2 linked regions of the Drosophila melanogaster genome follow. The gene in region 1 interacts genetically with each later gene. Each region holds a gene or a part of one and is shown on either strand. Other genes may lie near its edges.

The links.
Region 2: of peb (region 1) and ush, changing one enhances a phenotype caused by changing the other (phenotypic enhancement), as found in Drosophila melanogaster (one study listed by BioGRID).

Annotation. Positions count from the first base shown.
Region 1 is NC_004354.4:4,615,795-4,620,563, reverse strand, and holds the start of peb (pebbled), read right to left. Parts: upstream 3,001-4,769; 5' UTR 2,501-3,000; intron 595-2,500; exon of another isoform or gene 590-594; 5' UTR 571-589; coding exon 1-570.
Region 2 is NT_033779.5:474,715-479,275, forward strand, and holds the start of ush (u-shaped), read left to right. Parts: upstream 1-1,505; 5' UTR 1,506-1,617; intron 1,618-1,731; exon of another isoform or gene 1,732-2,272; coding exon of another isoform or gene 2,273-3,490; exon of another isoform or gene 3,491-4,561. Other genes in the region: MED15 (mediator complex subunit 15), read left to right, coding at 1-51, 322-464, 519-1,088; cbt (cabut), read right to left, coding at 2,273-3,490. UniProt on the Drosophila melanogaster protein: Transcription regulator that modulates expression mediated by transcription factors of the GATA family such as pnr and srp. Represses transcription of proneural achaete-scute complex (AS-C), which is usually activated by pnr.

The DNA.
Region 1 (4,769 bases):
AGTAGTGTTCGTAGCGCTGCTACTGTTACCCAGATAGCCACTGTGGCCAGTGGTGCTGCTGGCGTCCACGAATCCCGATTCCGAGAGACTGGCCGCCGAGCGATTCAGACGAAATTTCTTGCGCAGCGAACTGGCATCGCCACTGCTGTAGTCCATCACAATGGATGCCTGTGTGGTGGCGCCACCACTGCGACGCTGCTTGTGCCGTCCCAGATTCCTTGAGCCCAAGGCGGCCACCTGGTCGCCATCCTCCTCGTCCTCATCCTCCTCCGCCTCCGCCTCCGCCACGTCTTCATCACTCAGCAGATCCGACTGCTGGTGATGCTGCTGCTGCTGATGGTGATTCAATTGCAAATGGCGAATTTTGCGCTTGCGCGAAGATGTCACCGTAGCCAGCTCATGTGGCGTGGATGTGGTCTGTGTAGAGCCACTGTTACCGCCCAGTTTTTTGGGCGTACGTCCCAGATCCAGATGCTCCAGCGAGGACTCCGATGTGGTGGAGTCCCGTCGCTGGCGCTCCATTTCCGATTCCACTGTGCTGTTGTTGTGCTGTTGCTGTGCGGCGAGCATTTTTCCAACGGCTAGTTAACTGTGCTGATTTAGAAGATTCGAGAGAAAAAGAAGAAAGGACTTTTAGAGATGGGTATAGATAAAGCACGTGTAATAAGAACTCTATCGAAAAATCGAAGCACTTGAACAAGTGTTGACACTAATTAGATAACTCGAAGACAAAAGAAGTGTATCAAATATACTAAACACTTATAATCGCAAGTATTTTTATTACTTTTTGTCCAACCCCACCAAAGTTTTGCAACACTCGCTGATTCAAAAATGTAATTACTAGCTTTATGAAAGTCTGAAGATGGAAAGAAATCACGCGTAAACAAATGATATCCACACTGACAGCGTTCCATTCTGTAAACTGGGTGTAGGGTTCAATTAATAACAGAAAATCGATAGTGGGGCACCCTGCATTCTCCAGTCTTCGATTGTCGCGTAATACTAAACTAAATCTTGAGTAACGTAAACAGCTGATTCAGGCAAGTAAACAATGCAACGGAAAGATGAAAAAACAGAAGCGGAAAAGCTATTTGAAATCGAGTTCCTGTGAAGAGCGAATAAGAAGAATTGGCGACTGTTGCAAGTGCATCCGCAGAAAGGTGCGAAGAATTGAATTCAATACACATCTGGCAATGCTGCTCTTATCAAGAATTTCGGTGTGTGGGTGAAAAATGTGGGTACACTCATTAGCATTTACCGTTATCAAGGCTATGACTATGAGCGGTGTCCCAGTTGTTGTCGTTGTTGTTGTTTCTTTGGGTGGTAGTGGATCGATTTGAAAATCCTAACTTCCCCCCGAAAGGCAACAAAAATAAAGAAACTCTGAAACCTCAGAGGCTGATCAAAAATTTCTACCGATAACGAGCCCACTGTTCGCTATATATACATACACACATGCATACATCCAGTCATATACACATATAATTTTTTCGGTAAATGTGTGTTAGTTGTTTGTTGTCCATTGGCTTTCGGTTTGGCCTTTCATTTTGGTTGGCTGATTTCAATTTCGTTGTCCATGAGTCATGAAAAGTCATTGAGATAAAGATTCCCTCCCGAATATATACTTTTTGGGGCGGGGAATTGTTGGGCGGTTTTCACACCTTTATGACCCTTGGGAATTATCAATGAACACAACTTGGTCAGTGAAAAAACAAATTTCTAATCGCCATCTAACGGAATCAAGCCGAGTGAAGTGAACCGTTTGACATGGAGCACAACCCCTGCGATATTAAACAGATCATCAATCTGAATTAAACCCTATAAACGTCGCCTCATCATCCCTGACCACGGAAATTTCTGGCTTTTCGGACTGGACTGTCTGTGTGTGCGTGGTGTGTCAAAGTTCAAGGGTTTTAGCATCGGTCATGGGTAATTTTTTGACCCGGCTAATTGCAGGCAGAACTTGACCCAAAACACCAAGGGAGGGGTTTTGGGAATGGACTTGAATTGAAATGTTTTCAAACATTGTGATCGTAGGAAAATAATTTTATATAAACATTTTCCTTTTGATTTAATCGGAATATAATGAATTTGGATCATTAAATTATTTTAACGATTTACGGAAGAATTAAACTGGCATATATATTTTCATTACTTCATCTTTTTTAAATAATATTTCTAATATCTAAGTCGATTTTAAAACACTGCTGCACTTCAATTGCATTTAAAAATTGCATTTCAAATGTGTTTGAAAACTAAGCTTTTAAATTTTATTTTAAAACGGTTGTGCTAATTTTAAATTCAACAATTTTTGTTCTTAACAATTTAACACAAAAATGTTAGCTTAGCTGAAGACCCAATAACTTTTCCAATTTCATCCTTTTGATAATCCATGTTTTCTGCGCTCGATTATTTATCCAAAGCAACAACAAATTGTTCACGCACAAATCACAGAAACAACATAAAAAAAAATCCAAAACAATCACTGTTAAAAAATTACCTTAGTGGATATTTAGTTGTGAAATTGTGTTCAACAGTTGCGACGGCATTCCAACTCCGGATTTCGCACTGTTTTAGGCTTGGTTCCCGTTGAAAAATGATTTTTGGTGGCTTTTTGGTGTTTTGTGTTTTATGTTTAGTGTGTAGGTTTTTTTTTTAATTCTTGTCAGATAACTTAATTCAGATAGCACTTATTTTTTGGTTCACTTAATATTTTTCACACTTCTTTGGCCTTAAAGCTTAGTATTCCAAAAATTCCCAATGGTTTGTCGTTTAAAAAAAAAACGTGAAAAAAATATGCAGTTTGCGTTTGATATTTCTTTGTAGGCTTAGAATTGAGAAATTCTGTTTATGTTTTATTATATTTTTATTTTCTACAAGTTAGTTATTTGATTTGTCTGCTTTTGAGTTGGTTTCTTGAAGCGCCGCGCACGAGTTTTGTATCTTATTCTCAGCGCAGCCGCAGCGCAACCGATTCGGCAGATGAAAATCGACTGATGTTGTATTTATAAAGTTGTATTTATAAATACAACGGCTGCGCTGCGCTGCCGCCGGCGGCGTCGCTGTCCGCGAGAGCGAGAGCGTAAAATTTGAAATGAAAAGAGAAAAGAGAGAAGAGAGAAGCAGTCTGGTTTTTCTCATTTTTTTTTCAACGGAGGCAGCGCAGCTTGGATTTTCTTTCCTTCTCATTCTTCGTTTCAAATTTGTCTTCTTCTTTTTCTTTATTTGGCGCAAATAGGATTACACATTGGGTGCGTGTGTGTGTGTGTGGAAGAGCGAGAGGGCCGTACTCATCTTTCATTGGAATTGGAAATTACAGTGGACACTTGACAACTGGAAATGGGATGCACGATACTAGATCTGAGCGTAGAAGAAGTATATCTAATCGAAGATGCATTATTTGTGTAGTATTTCCTTCTTTTAATATTTATGGAATACTTCAGTTTGACCTAGGACTTTAAACCAAAGTCACCATTTTTTTCAATAACTAGAAAAAAGTATTAATATCGGCAAAATAAATACTTCGGGAAATGAGTCTGAAATCTTGTTAAAAAATGAAACAAAATCAACGGATGTAGGATAGAAATGTGCCAGACTACCAAATCTCCAATTGTCAACTTTTTCTGCCTTCTATACGAGTGATCACTGTATGTAGCACCCACATACACATATGCATATGTCTGGATGCATTTTGGATTTTTGGGCAAATCCCGTTGCCATTGGCCACGCTGGCCATGTTTGTTGCCCTTTCTGTCGCACTTCATCTAGCGATGAGCACATCCAGATCTTCGTGTACATATGCCCATACATATGTATGTATGTATGTATGTATGTATGTATGTACATACATATGTGCTCATCCATAGCTGTGAACATCCCCATCCGTGTATCCGTATCCATTAACCCCCGAGCGGATACTTCCTGGCCAGTTTCTCAACCTTAACCTCTAGCTGTGCCCAGAACGGAAGTCGGAGACGATCGAGTCTCTTTTCGGTCCCTCTTTTCACCTTTCACCTTTTCAGGGTGCGTCATACAGCAATCAAGCAGCATTGAAATTAACATTAATGCACCGAAAGAAATGTCATGTAGCTGCCCGTAGTTCTGCGATTCTTTGGGGATAGCGTTCTCCAAATATAAAGGCTCTTTTTCCATGCTCTTCGATACTCATAGGTGTTTAGGTACCGTCGAGAGGTCAATTTTAAATAGTGTCAGCTGCCGAAAGAATGTACATATGTATGTATGTAAATTAGGTGACCAGCAACCCTTCAGCATCTCATCCAAAAATCGATGCATTCGATCGATTCTCCACTCAAAGAAAAATAATGCAAAACAATTGTAACAACAGAGGTAAAAATAAAAATAAATGAGCACAATAATACAACGCAAGCAAAAGCAGAAAAAAAGGCGGCGAAATTGTGCAAAAAATGCAGCAAGAGTTCAATACACTCGCCCACTCACACACACAGACACAAACACGCGCCCCTACGCACACACACACATACACACACACTAGAAGGCACAGCGACACGTGCAACGCGCTGTTTGTACACAATTTAATAATATTTACGTTTTGTTTATAATGAACTTGAAAAATTCGCACAGTGGTTCAGCGATTAAAAACTATAGCTCACTCAAAAGTGACAAAATTATGTTGTAATCATACAAATTTTTCAGAGATCTTAATATTATTAATATATAATTATCTTATTTTCGGAATTCAGTGTCGAAAAGAATGCAAATTTCCATCGAAAGCGATTGGAAAACTTAGT
Region 2 (4,561 bases), on another chromosome or scaffold:
ACATTGAGCCACTGAAGCGGATGCTTGCCAAGATCAGTAACGACGGAACCAGTAAGTAGATAATACCCTCACGTTTCGTTTTTTTCGCAGCTATTGCATTTTTAAATCGTTTGCTGATTACTGAAATGCTGTAAATGCTATAAACCGCGTCAAATAATATAATTTAAGAATTATATAATCGTTTTTGCGAGGCCAAATGCAAGGACTAACTAACCAAAAACAAAAGTTTAATGCAAACTTACTCGGGTTTATATATTTCCTAGTAGTTATATTCTCGAAGTATATGTTATCGTAAAACTAATATTATATCTTCTTTAATAGATGTGGAGAAGATGACAAAGATGAGCAAGTTGTTGGAGATTCTCTGCAATCCTACACAGCGCGTGCCGCTGGAGACTCTACTTAAGTGTGAAAAAGCGCTTGAGAAGATGGATCTCATCTCCTATTCCGGCCAGCAGTTTGGTGTAAGTATATCTACATCCAACGGGCCAATTTATTATATTCTTCGTTATACCTAGAAATCCTCAAATCCATTGCTGGAGGTTATAAATACAACGCTGCAAAGTCCTGTAGCAAATCACACATTGTATCGCACATTCCGACCCACTTTGGAGCTGCTCTTTGGTACGGATATAACAGCTCCAGTGCCCGCAAAGCGACCTCGGGTGGAAGAAAAGTCCACGTCTTTTGAGCAGGAAGTGCCACATGTGCTTCAAGGGGAAATTGCTAGGCTCGATACCAAGTTTAAAGTGAAATTGGACACCACGTCACAGATCAACAACAAGGCCATTCGCTTGATTTGTTGCCTGGATGACAAAAGGTTGCCTAGTGTTCCGCCCGTAAGTGTGAGTGTGCCGGAGGAATATCCGTGGCAGGCTCCGGACTGCTCCTTGGCGGAACAGGAGTATTCAGCCACCCCCTTCCTGCAGACGGTGCAACAAGCTCTCATTGCCCGCATCTCGAAGTTGCCCAAGAACTACTCGCTCTCACATTTGTTGGACACCTGGGAGATGGCCGTGCGACAGGCGTGTTCCCCGCAATCGAAACCCAGAGCAGTCTGTGAACTTTCCACTTTGCTGGGAGTTTAGCCCAACTATTTGGTTAAATTCAACTATAACATTAAATCTTAAGCTAAAAGTGCGTACGCTGCAAAAAAATTACTATTTATTTTAAAATCTTTCTAATTTCTGTTTTGTTCTAGATATATTTTTATATTTGTTGGAAGTTTTACCTAACTATCCGGCCTAATCAACTATAAACATTTTTTCTATTTACGCTGGGCAAAAAGTGTGGAAAGTTTAGTAAGTTTATATCTTGTTTAATTTTAAATCAATGGATATTGAAAATTTTAATTTCATTTTAGATTCCCAAAATGCCCCTCTGTTTTGGGTAAATACATTTTAACATATAAGACAAATGGCTTTTATAGCTAAAATAAAATAAAACCAATTATTTCAAAGAATATTGAGCTGCACCGCATTGAAACATCCTTCTATATACACAACACACTCATCCACTCATCAAGCAAAAAACATTCCACACTCAAGACTTAGTTCAATACCAAAATGGGGCTACATACTTTGCAAATTGTTTCAGTCGGATGAGATTTTTAAAAAGGTAAGCATAAACAATTTGGAATAGGGCTTGTCATTCTAAAAAAAAATTAAGTCACCGCAATAGACTTCTGCCCAATTACGCTTCCCTCCCAATTCATAGAATAACTTTAGTTTTCTTTGGAAAATATGTATATTTTCATTTGTTGAGATTGGAATCGTGCGATGATCCATTATTCTATTTGTTTTCATTTTCTTTTTTTCACATTTAGCAATAAATACAATTGTGTGTGTTTTAGCTTAAGAGAATTACACTGACAACTATGGTACAATAGAAAAGAGTTAAGAAAACTTAAATATCACAGATGTTGGACGCCGAATGCGTCTCTTTATAGTATGTACAAACACTAGGGATATTCAGAATATTAATCTGAAGAAGATCGCTTAGATAAGAAGTGTGCTGTGTGCTCCTGGAAAGAAGTGGCATCTATCCGATTTGGGTATTACGTATTGAATTTGAAGTTGATATATGCACAAAACGGTGACAAGATCTAGCTCCTAACTAAGCTTAAGTCTACACCAGCTACATGAGAGCGAGAAGGCATTTCGAATTTGACTCAGATGTTAATTTGTTTTGAAATTTGGTGGGAATTCATCTCTGTTTAGCTGGCGATACTGTGGGGCTGAGATTGGTTCTGATGCTGCTCGCATTGCTCTTCTCATCGCTGCACTTGAAGCAGGGTTCCGCCGAAGGTGAAACTGCTGGCCTGCTGCTGTAGCCTCAGCAGATCTTGGGCGCTGTAGACTTGCAAGCTGGCGGAACTGATGGGCGAGGAACTAGCGCTGGAGCCCGCCGGTGCTATCGCTCGCAAATGGAGCGAGGCATCGCAGAGGGAAGCCGCTACCGAAGCTGATGTGTTGTTGTTGGCCAGGGAGACATGTCGATTCACTCCGTTCGCCTTGTCCTTGTTGTGCCGTTTGACGTGCTTCGACAGGTGATCGCTTCTCATGAATTTCTTCTGGCAGACGCTGCACTGGAATTTCTTTTCACCGGTGTGGGTCCGTTTGTGTCGGGACAACTCATCGGAACGGGAGAATCGTTTGTCACAGTTCTCCCACTTGCAGATAAAGGGTCGCTCGCCGGTGTGAACCCTCTGGTGGGCCTTCAGATGACTGCTTTTGAAGTAATTCTTGCCGCAATCGGGAAAACTGCACTCGTAGATGCGACTTCTGGTGGCCGCCGCCTGGGCGGCCGTAATTCTGGTTGTTAGTTTCTCCTCGGACATTGTTGGCGTTTTGGGTACGGGTGTGGGGCTCTGTTGGGCGGCCACTGTGCTGAGCAGGATAAGTTGGCTGGCAGACGAAGCTACTGGGCTAACATATATCGGTGTCAGAATAGGTTTTATTTCCTCCTCCTTGATGCATTCCGCTGGAGCAGGTGGCGTTACAAGCTTCGCAACTGGTGTCTCGGGTGTTTGTACTGGGGGTAGTGCCACTTCTGCAGCACGCTTTCTGTTCATTTTGAACTTGAGATTGCGCCACACATTGGCCTCTGGATAGTCGTCCTCCACAGTGGGTGGTACTGAACTTGTACTTGTGTTTGTGTTGGAAGAGGAACTACAGCAGGAGGTGGAACTAGATGAGTTCTCGTCTTGGCTACTAGAAGAGACAGCGCCAGAACTGTTGACCCGCATGATGACGCTAACCCTTTCCGCTTTCTGATCATCGTCCAGCTTTTGATCCGGCGGCGGTGTCATGCTCATAGCAGGTTGTTCCAAACGGGGTTTCTTGTTGGGAACCGCTATTTCGGGAGCCTCGTCTTCCGTGTCCGATGGATTTGGTGTAATAATCCCTCCATTTTTCTGACTCTTTTGGGCCACCAGCTTGAGCTTTGCCTTTAGCAGATTCTCGTTCACCTGTTGTTCGTCCTTGGCGACCTGGAAAAGGAAAGAACAAGTTCAGGGTTAGTCAGAGTTCGTTAACATTGTCGAGTTTATGTTCTGAGGAGTGCATTCACATTCACAGTCCCATTCACTTTTCGCTGACCAGCATTGACCCACAATAACTTTTCCTCGCAATTCGCTAATTACGCCGGCGGCTGACAAGGCCGTTCACCGTTAACCTTCACACACCCTGCAATACCCCGCCCAACCCCAGGTTCAATGCTCCTTCGAAAGGCCAAGGGAACTTTGTTTTTGGCGGTTTTTGAACTCTTTTAAAGGCCGTTTGGGGTGACAGAATATTACTCATTAACTGTTGCTGCCAGCTGTGCTTTAAATTATAGACGTATGTAAATGTTAAAGGTGAATACTGTATTGATGACCACATAAAAGTCTTTAAATTGATGTGCTCCTGACAGAAACAAAAAATGTCTTAAAATTTTAAAAACTGTTCTTAATATGGACTTTTCAAATTTCACTACTTAATTTTTAAGGATGAAAACATGAGCAACTGTTGCGTTTTCGGCGCATATTCTAGAACCATTTAAAAATTGCGCCTAAAAGCATGCAAGGAAAATGCAGCCACACCACCAGTATTATTATGACGTGCCTCAGGTGGGTGATTTCATGGGGAAGGCGAATGCGAGGGGTGTATTATGACTCGTGCGAAGACGTCGAAATCTTTTTATGGGCTCGGCACGTTGCGCTCTAATGTGCGACAGTGTTTGTTTGTTTCTTTCTTGGCCAGATAAAAAACGAGCCAGAAATGTGACATGGTTTTATGGGTTGGGGCTTGGCCTGTTTGCCTAGCTTTTGGCTAGGCCCTCTCTTTCCTCTCACACTCCACCGCTCGCCTACAGTTGCCAATTGGCAACTCACCTTCTCTCTTTTGCTTTTCTGTTGTTTTTTCCTAGTGGTGCCAAGTCCAATGTTCAGCTGCGGCCTCTCGCTCGCACTCACACATCACTCGCTGTGCATGCGGTGTTCACGTGAAAGCGTGTTGGCTGCGTGATCGCATGGCTGTGTGCGAGTGCGAGCGGGACGAGGCACTTTGTTTTTAGAAACGCG